Linked DNA regions of Oreochromis niloticus. The protein of the gene in region 2 purifies or fractionates together with the protein of the main gene of each other region. This does not show direct contact. Links are inferred from orthologs where the notes say so. Each region holds a gene or a part of one and is shown on either strand. Other genes may lie near its edges.

The links.
Region 1: the proteins of slbp (region 2) and mif4gdb purify together in Homo sapiens (affinity purification with western blotting; 3 studies listed by BioGRID and IntAct, with this or other methods). This does not show direct contact. The link is inferred for Oreochromis niloticus from reciprocal best matches to the Homo sapiens genes SLBP and MIF4GD.
Region 3: the proteins of slbp (region 2) and ctif purify together in Homo sapiens (affinity purification with western blotting; 3 studies listed by BioGRID). This does not show direct contact. The link is inferred for Oreochromis niloticus from reciprocal best matches to the Homo sapiens genes SLBP and CTIF.

Annotation. Positions count from the first base shown.
Region 1 is NC_031969.2:17,398,674-17,405,628, forward strand, and holds the start of mif4gdb (MIF4G domain-containing protein B), read right to left. Parts: upstream 3,059-6,955; 5' UTR 2,906-3,058; intron 2,331-2,905; 5' UTR 2,291-2,330; coding exon 2,212-2,290; intron 2,127-2,211; coding exon 2,017-2,126; intron 1,920-2,016; coding exon 1,764-1,919; intron 1,237-1,763; coding exon 1,144-1,236; intron 163-1,143; coding exon 1-162. Other genes in the region: slc25a19 (mitochondrial thiamine pyrophosphate carrier), read left to right, coding at 4,650-4,781, 5,048-5,203, 5,303-5,473, 6,555-6,735, 6,822-6,952. UniProt on the Homo sapiens protein: Functions in replication-dependent translation of histone mRNAs which differ from other eukaryotic mRNAs in that they do not end with a poly-A tail but a stem-loop. May participate in circularizing those mRNAs specifically enhancing their translation.
Region 2 is NC_031966.2:2,146,427-2,153,917, forward strand, and holds the start of slbp (histone RNA hairpin-binding protein), read right to left. Parts: upstream 3,104-7,491; 5' UTR 2,742-3,103; coding exon 2,683-2,741; intron 2,442-2,682; exon of another isoform or gene 2,317-2,441; coding exon of another isoform or gene 2,297-2,316; intron 1,735-2,296; coding exon 1,591-1,734; intron 1,063-1,590; coding exon 949-1,062; intron 843-948; coding exon 771-842; intron 39-770; coding exon 1-38. UniProt on the Homo sapiens protein: RNA-binding protein involved in the histone pre-mRNA processing.
Region 3 is NC_031972.2:18,391,404-18,398,451, forward strand, and holds the start of ctif (CBP80/20-dependent translation initiation factor), read right to left. Parts: upstream 3,015-7,048; 5' UTR 2,807-3,014; intron 1-2,806. UniProt on the Homo sapiens protein: Specifically required for the pioneer round of mRNA translation mediated by the cap-binding complex (CBC), that takes place during or right after mRNA export via the nuclear pore complex (NPC).

The DNA.
Region 1 (6,955 bases), on a different chromosome or scaffold from region 2:
GAATTCCAGGATCTCCAGCAGCAGCAGGCGGGCCATGGACGTGAGGCTCTCCTGGAGCAGAAAGCCGTCCCGCAGGAGGAAGAACAGGTCATTCATCCGCTGGCTGTCCGCCTTCTCCAGCTGCTCTCCGATGCGATGCAGCTGCACCACCAGACAGTCCACCTGTGGAGAAAGGTGGAGACGCCTCAGTAAAAACGAACGTCACACTAAAGGGGAGATTATGGTTTTGCGGTAGTTAGGGTAAACTGTCGGCAGCTATGGACTGCCCAGATGTGGGCAGTATAAATATTATGTGCTACAACAGATCTGTGGACTACACTTACATGTGCTGTTATTGGTCACCACCCAGCCACAGAGAAGAGTGAAGTTGAAGCCTACAAAGAGCTGAAGTAAAACTAAAAGAGGCCATTGCCTGTGTTTCTCATACTGCATTTTTTTTTTTTTTATCTTTGATGGGGTTTTTTGTGCTTCTCTGGCCCACTTTTCAACTAATCAACACAGTGTCATCCATGTCAAACAATGTGCAGTTAGGATGCTGGAGGATGGCATGGGTGCACATTTGCAGTGGTTGAAAATCTTCTGTGTAGGCGCTTCATAGGCAAATACGCACACAAGCGTGGTAGCATAAATTAAGAACTAAAAAGTATGCCTTTGCCACGTATCTGTATTATATAGAATTTAAAATTCAACTGAAATTAAGTTAAAAGTCATGAAATAATCTCTCTTTTTATACACACATATTTGTAAACATTTGTACACAACAATGTGGAGCCAAAAACTGACTGAGGTCTTCCTCAAAATTACAACCCTTTGGCTACTTTGTAGAAAAATGGCTATTAAAGTCTTTTTAACCTTTAAAATGAAAGGTGACTCTTCTACTATGCAGAAAAAAAGTGGAAGTTCATTGGCCAAAATGCAATTATGAAAGCTTCAGCAATCAATTGAGATGATTTAGTTTTTTTATTGGCCTTTTGGGATTTATATGCATTTGTAGTCAGACAAAAACACCCCGTGGAACAGGAGGTATATCGACTGACTATACAAAACAAACCCACTCCCCCAATCAGTCCTGAAAACCACTATAGCACTTTTACACTTATATGTAAATGACTGATAAATACTTTCTCCAGATATCTTCCTCACCTCATCCTCATTCATTAGAGCGTCTGGTTTGGCCAACCTCATCAGGCAGTCGTACACAGGATGAACCAGGGCCACCATCGGCATGTTGTTCACCTAAGAAACACAGTGTGGAGTCCTTACAGCAGCTAAGTATTATCAACATAACAGAAAAGGAAACTGTGGTAAGTCCTTGACTCTGATTTCTCTTACACAAAAGCCAGGATTGAGTAGTCTTCCAATAAGGATCACTCTGTTTAAAATGCCAGTGGCTCCAAGCATGGATGAAACCTGAGTGTGTTAGGACCACACCTTTCAGGCTCATCTTTACACTGCCAATGAATAAACCCCTTACTACATGAGACATGACCTAGATTTTAGAAGCAGCATAATTAGCATCTGTTCAAATTTTAGTGGTTGTTCCTGGACACTTAAATGTGCTGCAGTGAACATATTAGGACCCCAAAAATGCAGCTATAGGAGGTGTTCATCTGCAGTGTGGACACAGAAGAAGAAAAAAAAGCAGCATGTCCTCTTAATACGGGCAATGAAAAGGTTCCACTTTTAATCGGAGTGATTTAACAAAGCTGCTTTGTGTTTCCCCTTCCTAAATGTTAAAACTCAAAACTCTCTCTGGCTCTTACTTTGAGGTAGTCGAAGATGTTGCAGATGAACGTGACATAGCACATCCACTCCTGCAGAGAGCGTGCCCTCATCTCCTCGCGTTCTTTGAACTCCTGCTGGAGTCGGTTCAACAAGTGTCTCCTGAACACGTTTCCATTGTTCTGCTTGGCTTCAGCCTGCAGAAAGTGTCAAGCAAAGTGTCAGGCAGATAACAGTGGGAGGGTGGACAAAAAGTGGGAGCCTGAATGCAATATATAGCTGGGTCTTACTGACCTGCACTATAGTGTAGCAAATACGCCCAGCCTCTTTGCTGAACACGGTGTCCTTCAAAGACTGATCCACAATGATGTTGGATACTTTCTCCAGGTTCACCAGAGATGGATCTGAAAAAGAGAGCATTATGTTTAAGTGCTTTTTTTTTTTTAACAGCGTCCAAAAATGACACACATGAAGAAGTTAAAGGCTGACCTTTCAAGGCTGTTTTTAGTAACCTCTGCGTGTCCAGGTCAAATGACTGGATCCGGTAGTCTTCAGCAGAGTTTTCCATTACAGATGCAAGTAAACAAATTACACGGGAGGGCTGTCACCTGTGGAAATCAGACAGTTACTGCAGGTGTTTTCATGCAGAATATAAGCTTTTCAAAGACAGATCAAAAGGCCACAGCCGGAGACATCCGGGCACTTTTGGTGACCACAATACATGCAAAATCCTGTACAGTCATCAAATTGGCTGGCCCCCGGCCGCAGCTCATTCACTGAGGGATGGAGGGGATTATACAACCCAGGTCAACTAAAAAGTTCACCGAACACCCAACCAAGCACGAGCCAAGTTATCTTCAACTTGTGATGTGACACACCAATGTTACTTCCATATTCCATATTCAACTAGGTAACGTTAGTTTAGTGTAAGAACACGTAAAATTTCGTCTAACGGTAGCTTTGTTTTCAACATTAACAACAACCGTTACAGCTGTAGTGGAAACCAAACGTTAATGGCTAGCATTGACGCTAACGAATCAAAGTGGAGTTTAATACCCAGCCTACACTTGCGTTATAACCGCCCGCTGAAAGGTACAAACGGGTAAATACTTTCCCGAACTGAAAGAAAACGGTGGTTAAATAATTGACCAACAAATGGAGGATAATTATGTGACAATTATACCTATTTAATGCCAATTCGTCACATCTACGCTCAGGTAGAGGTATGCTCTGGTAGGCAGCCTTTCCTCGACGCAACCCCAACCTTTCGAAGATGAAGTATCAACAGAAAGATGAGTCCCTCCTTTCTCCTTTTCCTTCGCCGCAGACCCTATGGTCTTCACCTAACCCAAAGTTAACGTAAACGAAGCCCTTATTCTTGTACTTTCGACACCTGTCTACGCTATAGATGTCTTAAATAAAAGAGGATGTGAGTTTTAAGTAGTTGCTTGCTGAATTTGACACGGTGCAGTGAGGCAGGAACTTATCTTGACGTGATATTTCGTCTTGGAGAATCTCTTCCGACCCGGCAGTAATATTAGGAGCGTGCTAGCAAGTAGTAGAAACCTGTTCCTGTTCTACTAATTTTGAACTGTACTAGTTGAGGTTCACCGTTGGAGCTGATGTGGTATTTATGAAGGTACGGTGATATTTGTCTGCTTCTGTTACCATTATTGTCAAGTTAATCCCTGCTCTGTTCTTAGTTTATCTTAGCTTAGCTTAGCTAGTTCCAAGGTCTTATTATATGTCCTCCACATGTCTGTTTTTTTTTTCTTTTTAACTTTTCTGGTCTTTATGGCATTTTATGGTTGTGTTATAATTATATAAATGGTGACCATGGAAGAAAACGAGCCATTAACAGACACCTAACAAATGTCGAATGACATGGGTGGAGCTGTAAATGTAATGTCAAGGAAACAGCTGCTGGGAAAAAGTCTTGAGCCACCCCACGTTTCGTTTCTTTATATTTTACTTCGGAGGAGGCAGACATACTTGACATTTTTTCAGTGGTGTTATCAATAATTCCTCAAGGCTTATAAAATTTTGTTTGTTTGTTGAACCACTGAACACTAGCATATGAGTCATTCAGGCATAAAAGGGCACACGAATTAAGTTATCATCCAGTGTTGCGTATCCTTAAAACATTTGAGGAAACTGGACTGGTGGGTAGCAAATGAAAGCCATGTCCTTAAGAAATAGGAAAGACCGACACAGGGCACGAGATATCCAACTGGCCCTGCAGGTGATCCATCAACTTTTCACTGAAGTCTCCTTGTAAATAGTCTCAGTGTAAGGGTGAATGTCAAGAAGCCATGCTTAAGGAAGGGAGACAAGGAGAAAAGCCATCTGTAAAACATGGTGGAGGCTTTCAGAATGACAGTGATCCCAAACATGGATGGGGAACTTCTCCTGAAAACTACTTAAAGAAATTACAAGAAAGCTTTTCTAAGAGACTTCAGGCTGTAATGTATAAGAAAGGTGGTCATACCAAACATTGACTTTCAAGCTTGTTAGAACAGTAAAAAAAAATCTACAGAAAATATACTGCATTCCCATGTATGTTAGCATGTTTCAGTAAATTGCTGCACCCATTTCTCATTTTCATTGAAAAGTATATAGAAAAGAGGAGTTATATATTACTGTGTATTATTCCAAAGTCCATCCCCCAAAACCAAACTGGAGGTTTTATAACATCTAGCATGTAGCTGCTGTTATAAATATCAAAATACTCACTTTAATACAGTTTTGAAACACCTGTTCTTAAGATTATACATACAAAACAAGCTCCTATCATCCAACATGATGCAGTTAAGATTATCTTTATCTATTTAAACTTGAATTAAAGTTTGTTTTTAACTGTGTTAAACTGAACAAAGGGTTGGTCATTTGTTTCATTAGAGTTTCTAGAAACCTAAGGCTGTAGAGACATGGTGGGCTATGACCCTGGTGTCCAGAGTGCACCTCTGTCCCCAGAGGAGGCGGCCTTCGCTGGTTCAGCTGCCGGGATGGTCACCAGAGCCCTCATCAGTCCTTTTGACGTCATTAAAATCAGATTTCAGGTACTTGTTCTGGGACAGAAGTGAGAATTCATGTTGACTTTGAAGATTACAGTGAAGTAGCAGCTATGACCTTCAGTATTTTCTTCAGTAACTGCACATTTCAATTGGTGACTGTACTAAAAGCATGTGCAAACATTTGCATTCAGTACCACACTGTTCACACAGTAAAGTGTATTTGAAATAAAAACCTTAATCTCTTCACACAACTCTTGAAGCCTGATAGATGCAGGTTGTGTTGTGTTCTTATCTGTATTTCCCCCCTGTAGCTGCAGATCGAGCGCGTGTCTTCAAAAACACCAGAGGGGAAGTACTATGGGATATTTCAGGCAACACGCCGCATTCATTCAGAGGAGGGACTGTCTGCTTTCTGGAAGGGCCACATCCCGGCACAGCTCCTCTCCATCTGCTACGGAGCTGTCCAGGTACAAAGTGTGAACTGTGAACTGCAGGCTAAGCAGAACAATTATATTACTGTAAACAATCTCAACAACACAGTTGCTTTTATTGTGTCCAATTTGCAGTTTGCGAGTTTTGAGTTTCTGACAGAGTTGGTCCATGAGAAAACGCCGTATGACAGCCAGACAGCAGGCGTTCATTTCGTCTGTGGCGGCTTGGCAGCCTGCTCTGCCACAGTGGTTTGCCAGCCTCTGGACACACTGCGGACACGCTTTGCAGCTCAGGGAGAACCCAAGGTGGGACTAATCATTGCTGATCCTGTCGCTGTCAATGTTTGACAGAATTGTGAAAAATGTAAATAAAAACAGAATGCAATGACTTGCACATCTTATAAAGTCACATTTTTTCACTAAAGAGTACAGAAAATATAGTAAGTGTTTAAGCTGAGAAATTTTAAAGAAAAATGTTAAATCATTTTAAATTTGATAACAGAAACATATTTCATAACATATTGTTTACCACTTTGTAAGAGGCTGTTCAGGCTGTAATTGTCTGGGAACTGAAGAGACCAGCTGCTGGATTTTGTATGGATGGGAGCATATGTTGTTCTAAAACCTTTACATACAAATAGATGCAGTATTTAGTTTAGCATATGTCTTGCTGAAGTATGCAGGACCTTCGCTGAAAAAGACGTTGCCTAAGTGGAAACACATATCGCTCTACAACCTGTATATATTTTTTCAGCATCAGTGGCGCAGTTGTGGCAATTCCAGAGACACTAACGCACCGCCATACCAGAGGTGCAGACTTGTGAACTGAGCTCTGATAACAACGCAGATGGTGCCTCTGCTCTTTAGTCTGCAGAATGCAGCGTCAATATTTTCCAAAAAAAGTAAACCGTTTTGATTAGTCTGTCCAGAGAACAGGTTTTCCACTTTGCCAAAATCCATTTTAAATGAGCTTTGGTTCAGAGAAGAAGGTGGCATTTACATATGACTTTATCTTTGCACGATGGAGCTCTAACCTACATTTGTGGATCATGCAATGATTTCTGGAAGTGTTCCTGAGCCCATGCACTGATTTCCATGACAGAATCATGCCGCCCGAGGACCCGAAATGATCCCGGGCATCCAGTATTGATTTTTGCTCACTTGTCTGTTGAGGACAGAGATATCCAAATGTGTTTAATTAGGCGAATGTAGAAATATTTGAGGATTTGGACACAGGTTTTTGTTTCCCACACTACCAACAGCATTGAAGGCCGTTTCAAGTCTTACAACGATGAAATATTCATAAAGCATGTTAAATATTCTCTAATTCCTGCCTTAGGCAGAATCACTCACGGTATACTGCTGAAACCCAGTTTTATATTTCCAGGTGTACAGGAACCTGCGACATGCTGTGTCTACAATGTGGCGATCAGAAGGAACTCTAACATTTTACCGTGGCCTGTCACCAACGCTCTTGGCTGTGTTTCCTTACGCTGGCCTGCAGTTCTTCTTCTACAACATCTTTAAAAAGTTGTTGGCTCCACGACCCAAAGCTGGGAACTCGGGAGGTGAGTGGAAACTCTTAATTGTGCAGCGTTTACACATGCACAGGGTTGAGTTTAAAATCCTGTCACTTTTTATGTTCATGTTCAAGGAAACTTAAAAAGTCTGGTCTGTGGGAGTGGAGCTGGAATGATCAGCAAAACAATCACGTACCCCTTCGATCTGTTCAAGAAGAGACTGCAGGTGGGGGGCTTTGAAGCAGCCAGAGCTCACTTTGGACAGGTA
Region 2 (7,491 bases):
CATCGGTTTCCAAGTTATCTCCCTCTCTGGAGTCACAGCTGAAGCACAGACACATTTAGTCCACATTCACATGCACACAATACAAAAATAGAGGCACAACTAACATTCATCACGAAAAGAGCCCGACTTCCTTCATAATGATTTTATTCTAAAATGATTGTAAACACAAAGTTGTTGAAAAATGAAAAGGTTATTGTCATGTTAAACAAACCTGTGTTACTGTTTAATGGACAAAACTACATTAGTAATGAGTTCAAAGCCCATGACATGATATAATACAATGTAACTACGTAACAGTAACTATGTAACAGTAGTCTGGAGTGTGTTGAGATGTCAGTAAGACTAGAAAAGTTCTGACAAACCAAAACTGGATCAGTTCAGGATTTGGGGAAACAGCAGTTAAAGCCATATTTGACACGTCGTCGTGTTTCAGCCTCGCTGTCACAAGGACAGAAAACCCTCATCGTCTCATAGCAGATATGATATTTATCACATCATATTTTGATGCTGAGCACTTTACTTTTGTTACCATATAACTGAGCTCCATTAGTGCAATCTGTTTTACCTTACTCGCCACTTTGTTCAGTGATACTGCGTTGATTTTATTTCATGTTTCCATTATTTTGGGGATGAATACGTTTTGTCTCGTCTTATTTAATGTTAATAATTGCACACTTGTATAGCTGCAGGTGGATGTGTGGTTTGAGAAGTGAGTGTTCCATCAGTTCATGAATATTCTGAGTTGAAAGGTCTGTGAGAGAATGAGATACCTTCCAGAAGAGCCAGACGAGGCCCTTCTCTCCCTCTGGGTGAATTCTGCCCCCAGTATCCTCCTCCTGTAACTGAACACAGTGCAAACAGTGAGTCTGCAATCCAAAACAGGAAGCCAGTCTCTGCTTTCAGGTGCTTAAAAAGACAACTGAAATAATGTAGAAACTGTTTAATTACCGCTGCATGTCTCTGTGCACATCCCTCCTCATCTCATCGTCCTCCACCTGGCTGCCCCAGTCAGCCTGTTGACCACAGCGGGACACTGGACCTGTGCTCTCTGGAGTAGTAAAGCTAGGAGGACAATACCACAGGTTACACACACACAGGGATGTTACTGCTACAGTTCCTGCAGATGTTGTGGCCACATGTTGGTAATGGAGTCAGTAAGCTGTTTTTTTAAAGTGGTTCATGAGCAGAGACTGGCTGGCTTCACTCAGCAATAATGTAGTTTGATTTTTTTAAAACACTACCATTCAAACTAAAATCATTCTAATAATTTACCAAATATTACTTTACAACCACTGTGTTATTTATTTTAATTTAAAACAAACAAACAAACTTGTTTTTCTTCTCGAGCCTACACTGGAGTTTGGATGTGAACTACACAGACCAATGAAATTCTCACGCTGTTTACATTTGACAAAGCACCTTTGAACAGGGCCATTAAAGCTGTGTGGGTCTGAAACACTAAAACTGAAACATTTCCCCAACAAATGCCAAAAATCCACAAAGCTTCAGCCGCCTCATGGCTTTTCAGTTATGAGTTCCCTGCATTAATATACATTTATCACTTTCCACATTAACTGAGCTTACTCTCACCTAGCATGTCTGCGATCAGGGTGTTTGTAGCTGGAGTCGGCGTGTCCGTTCCTTCTTTTATCAATATCATCTGCCTCGCTGTTGCTCCGCAGGCTCCCATTGACGCCCCTCTTCCTGCAGTGGGACCACCGAGATGGGCCAAAGCTACACAAGAAGACACAAAAAAAACGTGTAGATTTAAACATGCCAATTCATTCTTGTTTTGATATCAGATTTCTGCAAACAATTCTCAAAAACATTCTCTTCTGTGTCAAATTAGGGAAAAAAAATCATGGCTGTTAAAAATGCAAAACCAGCAAATATGTGCAAGAACTGCAAACACACGGTGGGACGCACGGTCCCACACAGGAAAACACTCATGACGGTTTCACGTCTCCGTATTCCACAATGGCAAAGCTGCACTAACTGCTTCAAAATGCTCCGGGGATTTCTTTTGAACCTTCTTAGACAGATTAAAGTTTAGAGAAGGTGAATTTTATTTAATAATAAATGATTAGTTGAGTACAGTGGGTAAAACTGGAGCCATACATTTCCTTTAATAGACAATTTCTCCCGCCAACTTCTTCCGATTGTTCGGACCATCATCCATCTGTGACTCTTGTTTTTCCTGGAGGAGGGCACTTAGGACCGCGTATTCTAATATCAGATATTTTAATTCACGTTATAACTACAGCTGTTAACCACCTTTCACGTTTCATCCACTTACTTGTGTGTTACATTTAGCATTCAGTCCACAACGTATTCAAGCGTTAGCTTTAGCAGTTGTCTGTGTTTAACGCCTTATCGTCACCTTTTTACCCGCACTGTTAGCTAGCATGACTGTCAGGTCCACTGTTCACGACAGACTCGCTACAGACTGCTAGCTTCTACGAGCTTAAAGAAAAGAAAGTAACCATAGATACTAGCAAGAACACTGCGTGTACTAGAGTCACGCAGGTCCATCAGGTACAGTAAATGTTTTGTAGCTTTCAAAATGTCCACATCATCTTTGCACACAAAGGTTTAGCTAATCTGGCGCAGTGGCTTCCATTTAACGAGCACAGACAAAGGTTTAGCTGTGAATAACACACTGAGGCGGGAATGTAAACAGACCTCTTTTCGTGCTCGATGCTGTGATCCTCACGTCGCCGCTCTTTGGTCCAGTCAGACATGTTCTCGGTTAAAAAACAAGACTGCGTAGCAGAAGACTTCTTGGTGCTCAGCTGGGAACTTACAGCACTCACAGTCTGAAGATACGCGCCAACTCTGAAAGACGCGCGACCTCAAACGATCCACTCGGTCACGTGGCCGGAAGTAGGAACGCAGGAAGCCCACAGCTGTCGAATATGTGCTGGGCTAAAAGCGCGTGCTCACACTGTAGCTATGGTGTTATTTTTGTGCCAATAACGCCATATGTATCCCCTCTGGCAATAGTCGTGCGGCTTTCTTGTGACCTCTGAGCTTCTCTGAGCTTCCTCCAGGATGTTTAACTGTGACCGAGCGGATGTGCTCGATCGGCCAGTGGACGGAGAAGGGGCGGGTCTAAGTGCTTCGTTTTTTTTTCTTTTTGACGCGGTTCGCTCAGAGTCCTCCAAAGGTGTTCTCTCTCTGTGCTGAATCTGTGACGACCAAAGTGACGTGTTTGTGAATCCCAGTTAGATTCATGTCGGAATGTGCCATTTATAAAAAGCACGTGGCAGCACAGTTTAGTCCATGTCTCAGCCTTCCACAGAGATATCATGTTCATATGGTGGAAGAGTTCGTAATGCTGTAGAGAGACTGCATCACAATAGTTTCCCCCATAGCCCATAAAACTAAGTACATTGTCTTATATTTAAGTGCTGTGATCCGGTGGAACTCCATTCTGCTGATATCATTCCGGTAAAAGCTTTCTCAGTTGTGACATTAGAAATATTTAATCCCGCAATTAGATGTGCATTCACCAGAATCTCAGGAAGTTGTCACTTTACATTTTGTGCCATAAGGAAAAGGACTTAGAACAATAAGGTCCTGCAGTCCCTGATTCTGATGATCAGATTTGGAGCAGAAGGTCCTGTAAGGTGTTATGTTACCAGTGTCATTTAATAGGTACATTATAGACCATATTCTGTTCTCCTGCCAGTTTATTTAGCAATAAATCTATATTCCTAAATACCTAATATCTACGTGAAAAGGGAAAGACCATCTCTGAATCGAGGAGGGGGCCTAAGGGTACATCTTTCGCCATCTTACAATGCTGTGATTGCAGCCATTCCCCAACTCTCTGTGAATGGTACTCATGGCCATTGATCAGTGTTCTTTGATCAGTGGGTTTTGGTCAGTGATTGTTGATCAATGGTCATGGGAATTTGCATAATTATGATTAAGGAACTGACCTCACAGCCCATTGTTCCCTCAGTGGGCTGGTTTCAGTCATTATGCAAATGTACTGTTTATAAGGTTTGGGGAAACCTGCAGTCAGCTGAGACTGAAGAAGTCACTTGGATGAGTGACGAAACGTTTCTCCCACAAAACGCTACGTCCAGATGAACAGAATCAACTTTTGGAGATACCTAATATCTACTGTTCCTCAGTGGTGTATTATGAGGGCTGAAGTTGCTTGTAGACAATTTCAGTATAATAATTATGAATGAAATTAGTCTTTGTGTTTTTCTGTCACAATCACATCTTAGAAGAAAACTCATGACCCACGGCTTCTTAAATATTCGGTTAGTGATATTAAACATAAAGCTATCTGTTTTTTTAAATATCTTAGCCATTTTATTTGAATGGTAACATTAATGCACTCGAGAATAATGACTTTCATTCCTCTATTTATACTCTTTATTTATTATTGCTTTTCTAATGTAGTGCATTTTTCTAAATATAAATTAGCCTTGTTTATAGCTTTTACTGCAGTTTTGGAAAGTGGCCAGCACCAAACTGGAGTCTTCAGATGCATTCCCTTTAAGTAACTTAATTATGTCTATAAATTTTTCCCTAAATCCAAGCAACTCTGAGGTAAGACTGGAAATGAAATAAAAACTCTTTTAACTCAACATTGTTTTTATTTATGTGCACATGAGCTGTTAAATAAGCACACAGAAATACTGATTTAAATAGTATCTAAAAAAGACAGATCCAAAACACACAGGTGTCTGCACTACTATAAACCGTTACAGTGAATGTCTGCAAACCACGGTAGCTTGGAACATTTAAAACCACAGAGCCCAGTGTTGTTGACCACAGCTTGTCACAGAGTTTTGTCATAGCGCTGCTGACTCAGCCTCCTGGAGACATTGCTTTTGTAAGCTCCCCCCCTTTTCCTGGGAGGTACTGGTGTTTACATGGATGTGCTTGTGGTGCTGGCTGGGCTCTGTACCAATACTGGGTTCCAGAGCCTCTGGTTTGCATACCTCAACACCATTTGAGGTTCAAATAAAAGGGAATGCAATGTTGTATTGGCCACAAGGAGACTGTCCATTTCACTAAAAAACTGGAAAAGAACTGTTCCCTTTCCATTTGATTTACTATTGTCCTTAACTTTGCAGACATCAACAAGTGTATTCCATCTGCACACTCTGTCTGGGCAGAAAGGCTTGGGAAAACTGGCCTGACAACTTCTCTGAAGTTTCTTGCCACAGAAGTTTTTTTGTTTGATTTGGAGGTAGTGAGGCGGGAGTTGATTGTGCGGTGTCCTGCTGAGGCCATCATCTTCATGATAGCGGTGCTACTGCATCAGGTCTATGAATGAGTATTACAATTTTCAGGACTTTTTACCAGTCTGTTGTGGCCAGTGCCATGCTGGGGCAGCAGGTGGAGGGTCACAGATGCCAACAGACTCAATAAACTGATCCACAAGGCCAGTAATGTTGTGGGGACGGAGCTGGACTCCCTTAGGGTGGTGTCTGAGAGGTGGATAATACCTCCCACCCACTCAATGATGTGCTGGCTCATCACAGGAGCACGTTCAGTGAGAGACTGAGATTACCCATAATGCACCACTGAACAACACAGATTGTCGTCACCTGTTTTCTTACCGATCACGACTCAACTGCATAATCATAGGTACGGTGGCTGCTGTAGGACAATCAAATCTGCAGTAAGTCCAGGCTGTCAGTCCGCCATTTACCTCAACGGTCAATAAACTCTTATATGAAGTCAGGACTGTTTATCAAAGGGAAAGTGTGACGCTTAGGAGCTAGCTAGCTGACATAATGTTACCTTATAACCACCTGTTGTTGTTATTTAGCCGTCACGTTGTCAGCTGTCCAGAGAATAAAAAGCATGTTCATGCATGTTTTTCCTGTGTTAGAGCCTTGACTTTAATTAAAAAGAGGAGGCTTGAGGTGAGGAAGAAGAAGAATGAAGGAGGTGGGAGGGCAGAGACGGAGGAGGAAAAAACAGAATGAGAAACCGATGATGAAATCTATAAATCTTCAAATGTTAAATTGTCACGTATAGCATTAATGAGCATTAATGTTTAAATTGTAAATAACTTATAAGGCCTACTGCAGATGTGGCCGGCAATGTCCATTTTGGCCACTGTATTAAAAATGACGGGGAAAAATCTTGAATACAAATTAAAATATTATATATTTTAATCTTATGCATTATGTAAATTAACTAACTTTGCTGAACATAACTTACCAGTGATTTTTTTCTTTCCTTTTTTTAAGGATCGTTTACATCATGATTGTGTTTTCAGGATAAATGAGGTAATATGCTGTTTAATGTGATCGTTGTTTTTTTATACAGTAGTTACAGTGTAAACAGCCCATTATTTTAATTATGTCTGTAAAATGCGGAAGTATCCTCTTATTGAGGTGCAAAAGTGACGCAGGCGCAAGAGGCACCAATTCGCCGCTTCTTGTTTACCATAACAACTGGCGACGCTTTCTCCTGATTGGCTGCAGCTACATCCTGTCTTCCCAGGCTTCTGCCATTCAGATGCTATTTTGAACACTTCCTTCGTGGATTAACGGGAACGTCTTTAGAAAAGGAGTAAGTCAATAATAAGATAGTTGGCTGGCTCATCCAGTGAGGGGAAACGTTAGCCATAGTCAAGTGCGGATAGCAGCGGTGTGTCAACGCTAACATGAAGCGTTTCTTCTTTTGCGGGGAAAAAGTCAGTCGGTATTCCCCAGAGAAGTTCTTCTGTTGAGCCGAGATGCCCCAAAGATGGACGCCTGGACACAGTTTTGATGAGTAAGTGTACAGTGGCTGGAAATAAAACATCTGCTGGCCCTAACTAGCCTTTGTTGAGCTGACTGTGGTGACTCCATTAGGTCATTGCCGATGTTGGAAACAGGAAGATGTTAGCATGTTTTCCATGTCTAGAAGAAGAGCACAGACTCAAGAAAACAGTGCATGGATACACTTTTACACCGTCAGACAAATGAAATTGGAATATGTACCTTCTGTTGTTGGGTTGTGTTTACGTTATTGTTGAAGGCTTTAAATATGACGATCTGTCAGAAAGTTCACAGACTGTCCCCACTGAAGCAAACATGGGTGAGCACTGTCACAGAGTTTGGCATTTAGACACAATGGACAGCAGAGAGCGTTGTGGCTGAACTATAGTGTGATACAGAGGAAGCAAAGAGACACTTGGCATTGCTGACACAGTATAGCAGGGAGCATTTTTAGATGTCAGCTGTTCATAAAAATATTGTGAGTTCATACCGTGGGTTCATATTCACATCACTGACAAATGATTTCTAATATAGACATTCTGTGACAACAGAAATGTTGGTGAGTGAATTCTGAAATAAATGGGACCTTTTTGTGCCTTGAATTCATGTTTGTGCTTTGTCCTTTCACAGCTTTGTCTAGTATGGATCACAACATCCCAGAGATACTGAAAGATCCTGATGTAGAGCGAGGCCTGATTGGTAATACACATACATGCCTACACACACACAAACACACACATGACTGGTG
Region 3 (7,048 bases), on a different chromosome or scaffold from region 2:
TTTTCCCTCTTATGTGTACTTACAAGTGTGCGATTAGAACGACCTGAATCCAGTGGAAGAGACTAACAGAAAAAAGTGTGCACATGTCACACGAGAGGGGAGGTACAATGGTGTGTGTGTATACTTAAAACAATAGCCTCATTGTCCTCTTTTGTCCCTCTTTGTCCCTGTACTGACCAAACGGGAATGGACTGGGCATGTGCAGTACTGCAGAACTGCTGGGATTGAAGCTCCACATTGCTATGCTCTTCTGTCCGGACACACGAGCGTGGAGGTGTGACAAACAAATGAGGGCATGCTGACCTGCTCACAGGTTTCCTAACATGTATGGAGGGTAGATAACAGTCCTGAGACCTCAAAGGTGAACAGCAACCAAAAGTCAAAAGACAGGCACAAAGGTGAGTGTTCAACAGAGCTGTGGTTATTATTGGTCAGGGCTGAGATGATGACAAAACTGCTGACAAAAAGATCAACCACACAAACAACACAACTAGTAGCAGCACAATGGCTTACTGCAAAAACAGAGTATATAACATGTTGGAGCTCCGTCATCTCTCACAGAACTGCTGTATGTTTCTCTGATTCATCAACCGTGTAATCACTCTATCCTCACTTTCTCATTTTCCACTCACTCATCCGTTCCAGAGAAGCAATGTAATGAGGAGCAGCCCCCACTGAAACAAGGCTAGATCTCTGCTTCACAGCCTGACTCAGGATGATCCATTTTTGTGCAGGCAGCTCCCACTCTCTCCGTAACATTGCTGCTATATTTGCACCTCCTCCACACTCTTCAAAGCGCTACACGCACATACAGGGAACCAGGTCTACATCATGACCCTAAACACCAGCTCATTTTCTAATGCTTACGTTGACATACAACACAGAGGTAAGAGTTACCTGCTGCTATGGAAATTAACCCTGGCATCACTGGTGAGATCGGCCTTTCATTATTGTCTTTTCTCTTTTTTTGTCCCTGTATGGTCTCCCAGGACAGAGTTCACAATAACGATCGTTCATCACGTTAATGCAGGATTCGCATGCGCCATGACAACAGATCACAGGGGGTGATGATGGTGCACTGACTCTTAGATTAGTATGAATGAAACTTTTTTTCAGGCCACATTTACACATCAGCAAAACTCAGTTTTATATTAATGTGAGAGCAATCTAACTACACAACATATCACAAAGTGAAAAAGCAACTGGATGGATATTTCTAATATTTCCTCACTGTAGCAATGTGTATTAAGAATCCACAGTATCCTTTATTGAGCATATGTGGGGCACATAGTGTATCAGATGTTTCTTTTTCTTGATCAGCTATTTGATGATAGTAATATAGGCATATTATCAAAGTTCAATTTCATACATATCCTTGAATTCCCTGGAACTGTAGGCAAATCTCAACCAAGTATGTCTTTGCTCATGTACTATCAGATCATGGCCAAATCATAATTGACTGAACTATCTTCACAACAGCTAAATGTTACCAAATGGGTGGACTTTACATTAGCTAAAAGGAACATGGTCTAAATGTCTCTCTACAATATGTACAGAATGAGAAAGTGGCTGAACCTGACTGACCACTTGGCATTCTAATGAAATAGCATATGTCTCCTGAGTGATCACAGTAATGTGACAAGGTAAATACACTGCAGAGACATCCTTTCATCACTGCAGACAATCTTTTTTAAAATTCTCTATTAATAATACCACCTGTATAATGCAATCATGCAAAATAGGTCTAGCTTCTAGGTCTGCATTAAAAAGGTTAGCTTTTTCTCTGCTTTTTGACTTGTAGCAGCATGCAAACATTCCTTAAATCACTAAAGTCACTCTGATCCGATCAGTCCCCAAACAGCTGGAATCCCAGGAATGCCATGCGCAAACTTCACCGAAGTGTGAGCTAAAGAGCAACAGTCAGGTCGGCTAGGGATCAAAATATTAAGTCTGCCAAGTTTTCTCATTAACGACTGCATGATTAATGAATAACATGTAACACATTCATCATTGGAGTATGAGCTAATGTTTATGTTAAAATATATTTAGACAGAAGTTCCAAATCTGTCAGAAATGTTGATCTGCCTCTGTCCTGCCACAGTCGCAGCTGTGATGATCCACTCTTTGTTGTGAGGGTCAACAGCTGAGACAGTGTGCTGCTCTGCAGCTAGCTCAGCACAGCTGATTGACTTTAACGCTTTAAGCGACTGTTCCCATCATTCTTGTCAAGCAAGTATGACGCAACGTTACAGAAACCGAAGGAACACTAACAACCTGTGCCACTATAGCTTAAGCTATTTTTTTTTTATTTAGCATTTATAACCACGCCCATGCTGTCTGTGATGCTAGTACCGTGTGTACCAGGGTCAGTGAACAGATACATGACGGTTCGTTTACGCCAGAGGTTTTGAAACAGCTGCACACCATTGTCCCTGTTAAGGTAACAAAGCCACATCTGGGGGCACTTCCACGCCCTGGTGTGTGTGTCTGTGTGTCTGCGTGTGCCCGCGTATCGCCGGTAACAATGGTGACGCAAGCTTTGCGGCTAACCAGCCGGCTAGCGTTAGCCCTTAGGAGCAGTAACCGAAAGGCTATAAATTACAAATTCAAACAAGTCTCCGTCAACTCTGTCGTATCAACAAGTCTGCTGGTGGAGGCTTAACCAATCCCAGCATAACCAAGTCACTCACTGAGACAACTCGCAGCAAATCCAGCGCATCTCTTAAAACTGTTATCTGGTTACAACGGTTGAAACGCTCCAACCGAAAAACACCTTCAGTTGTCTTAAAACGAAATAAATCCTCACCCGAAGTGAAATGCGAACTCCTGGCGAACCTGGGGTCGCCTCCAGAGATTAAATCCGCCGTGTCATGGGTGTGTTTCTCTAAAAGAAAGCGAGGGGGGAAGAGGATTAGCTATCCAGTGGCAACTCCGACGTCCCACACTAAGGGAAAAGGGAATGCAGGAATGTGACGTTCAGTCCGGTCTGCTGGCATCATTGACACGTGCACTCAAGAGCGGAGCACTGTGGGAAATAGAGTGCAGTTAAGTAACAGATTGTTACGGGCTTATTACTAGCGTATTAGTCGTTATCCACAATTTCCATACCCAGTGAATCTCTGTGCTACTTACAGAAAACATATAACCCTTAAATTATTACAGCCCTTAGATATAACAATTGAAGTTTGGTTCCAACACTGCAAAAAAGTAAGTTCTTTGAGTTAAGATTGTGGGTTATTCCATCAAAGTTTCAAATTTTTATGTCATGTTATGTTACGTCAAATCTGGAAATAACATCTCGAATCTTTGAGTTATTAAGTCAGAATTTCCAGATAATTACTCACAACTAACATAAACTTTCAATAGACCAAATTTTTATTTTTATTTTTAATTGTTGTTTATTTATTTTCCCCCAGTGGCATACATTAACCTCCTATAAATGTCCTATAAATGTTTTAATTATTATATAATTACTTTTAGAGAATTATTTTAACCAGGGTAATTGATGATCCAAAAATATATATATATATACACACATCTAACAGAGGTAAATCACTGCTACTACCTAATTCTGTTAATAAAAATACAAATAGCATTCTGATTTTTTTTTCAGATTTGTTTTTTTAGTTATTAATACAAAAAAATCTTTTAAATTGGCCATATTATGCACATCATTATTTATTTAGCACGGTCCACTAAAATAGGTTTACATGCTACACTGTTCAAAATAAATTCCAGTTACTTTTTTTACATAACACTAAATTTCACTCTCTTTAAGGCTACCCTCCCAGTCTGCTCTCAGTGGTCAGTTAGCCATACAAAAATAAGTCACTGGTCACCTATTTTACTTTATAGTTGGTGCTGGATTCAATCAAAGAGCAAGGGATACCCACTGAATGAGTTCTGGGCATGCTGAATTCTTCTGTGGTGGGTTGTTTTGCTTTGTGAATCCAATACTTGCCTGTTCCAGAAGAAATTCTGTTCTGTAATTAGTTCGGGTGGCCCAGTGCGGACACCTAAAATAACTGCCATCCAAAAAAAACCCAAACTGATAATCGCACAGTTTATATACTTCTAAGTTCAACCCTCTATGCTCAACCAGAATTGGATCGGGGACAGGACAGACTCCCGTAAAAGCTGTTTTGTTACACAGTGCACAATGCTTTCAGATAATGGCTTAACCATTTCTGTAATTACTTGCATGCTGAACTTTTGTTCCTCAGAGTTGTTTGTTCGTCTATCAACAACATACCCAAAAAGCCACCCTGACAAATTTTTGGTTAAACTTTCAGAGCGCTGGAAATGAAACAAGACGAAAGAAGGATTCTGTTATAATTGAGTCAAGATCCAACTCTTTTTTTAAACTGAGAAATTTGGCAAAATATGTTCTCTTTTCTTAACTTGTATCTTCTGGGAATGTTAAACAAAGGCCGGGTGATTTTAACCAACACAGACTATGATTTTTAGCCTTACAAGTTCCAAATGGCCCCAGGGTCAAATGATCAAAGCTAAAGGTGACATTAGGCTCATTCGCTCACTAAGGGTTTTCCTTTTGCTTTGGGGATGGTGCCATTAAATGAATATAATAAACAGGGACTTTAGCTCTGCAGTTGCAGGAAGTGGGCGAAGACTCTTGTATTTGCTCTTGCAGCGAGCAACAGAGCAGCTTTTAGTTAGAGAAGGGACCGTTAGGCTGCTGCTTTCTCCTTTTTGGTTGTTAGGTAAGCATCATGCAAATGTATCACACAGTGAGGAAGATAAGCACTGAAGAAAGTCTAGCCCTGCAGAAAAAGGTGTTTCAGGCTGTCGAGCGGCACGGTTTTCTGCCAGAGAGAATTACTCAATTTGAAGTGGACTTTGAAACTTTGCAGCCCTCCAACAAAAACAGTTACATAAGACACCAAAGCAACAAAGGAAGAGTAAATAAGCATTATAATACTCTAAAGAATCCCCCTTTTGTTTCTCAACTTGTTAGAAGCGCATAAATAAATTAAATAAGAGCAGAATACACATTTAATGTAACCACAAACTGAATAAACTCAGTGCAGATACATTTCTATTACAGTTTAACAAGCTAGTGCATTAGGATTAGTGGTGATTTTAAAAGCTGGTGAAATTTTTTATTATGGGGTCACAAAAGAGAGTGGCACCATTTGTTCATTACCTGAACAGGAGTAGTATGATAGTCCTGAGAGTTACTGTCAGTGCAAGTTATTATAGTGTAACACTGCAGTTATTCTGGTTGCCAATAAATCACCTGCTAAGTCCAAAGCAGAACAAAAGAACTGCAGGTTGCAGCTGATCAGGCTCTTAACTATGAGTTTTCCAAATCATATAAAAATATTCAAAAGCTAATTTTGGCCATTTCATGAAGTTGTGTTGATTGTGGCTCATAGAAATGGATCAAATTAGAACTTCATGTGTTTTAATGGCGTGAGGTCAATCACAATACCCTACTATTGAATATCTCTTATAGCCAATATAGTGACTTTACCTGTTAAAGATTCTGTACCAATTTCAGGGTGTCTGACACCTTTTTATTTATTTTACTCAATAAATAAGTAAAGGAGATTGTAGAAGGTGGATATTTACTCATTTAATACCTTTTTTTGTTCCGAAACACATTGCACACTTCTTAATGTAGCATTTTTACTACACTTTTGATACAGTCACATGTTCTATATTTCTGGATTCAGCACAGTTACACCTTTCCAACAAAACATGGTTGATGTTTCTGGGATAGTCCCAGAAAAAAATGTTGAATTGTACAATCAGAGCTTCCATTATAAGATCACTAAAGTCCTTATGTATCATTTCCCACTTAGCTTGGCATTATTTTGCACTTTCTTTTAATTAAACATTCTACAGCCTTTCCATTTAACCACATATGGTGTAAATGTTTTCTATTCAAGGATCTGTTTCATTTAAGGGAGGCTTTAGAGAATTTGCTGTACTTTCTTTTTTCACTGGAAGGTGTATCCCAAAAACTAAAGCTGTTTTGAATGTCTTCTTTCTAGCTTAAACAGTTAATATCAGACACACAGAGAGACTTTCACAGAAACCAACACTCTTTTATTTATTATCTGAAAAGTTGTCTTTACTTAGCTTTTTGGGGGTTTGTTTTGCTACTTATATTTGTCGTTGCAGTGCTCATAACCTTTTCAAAATTCCAGTCTCAGATGTAAAACGTGTGTGAACAAAAGTGAACTACTCATCTCTTTCTAAATGTTTGCTCCTCTTTTACATTGGAATATTTGTTGCTATTAGTTGAGCAATCAGCATTGATTTATGGGGATCTTAGGCGTGAATGCAGCTTGGATATGGAATCATAATTGATTATCTTATGTGAATCTGCTTTTGTTATACCGCCAGGCAAAAACCATCCAAATACAAAAGAATCCCACAGTCTGGTTGCACCTGCACACAGACACAAATGACTGCAGAGAAGGGCTAGAAACACTGGAAAAAGTCTTTTTAGTGTAATCATGACCCCTTGTGGAAAAAGAAGAAAGTGCAGCTGGAGCAATCGGCTACTCCTTTGTCAGGGTTTTGTGTGCGTTTGAGTGTGACGTTAGATGTGTACATTTTATGAATATGTAGCCGTACAACAGGGATTCATCAGGGTCTTTAGTCAATATGGTACACAGTTGGAGGAGAGAGCCAAAACAGTCTGACTGTCAGTTAGATCTGCATATAGTTAGACACACGGGAAACAGACAGATGGAAGAATAAGCAATACAAAAATAGATAAAGTGTTAAAAGGAGGATGTATGAATCTGAGCTGTGGATAGGTAGACAGACAGCCGAGTGGAAAAAGTGCCCTCTCTGTTCCAGATGGCTGCTAGTCAGAGGCTAATTAATTGGCGTGATGGAGATTGCAGCAGGTCATTACACCCCTCCAGACCCTTTCTTCTTCTGTTGCTTCCTTTTCTTAGTCTCTGGTTTCTTCTCACTCACTCTCTCAGTGCTATGCATATCCTTAACTGTCCCATAATTACTTTGTTGTCCTCTCCGCATCAGCCACAGCACTCCAGCCAATTCAGGCTTC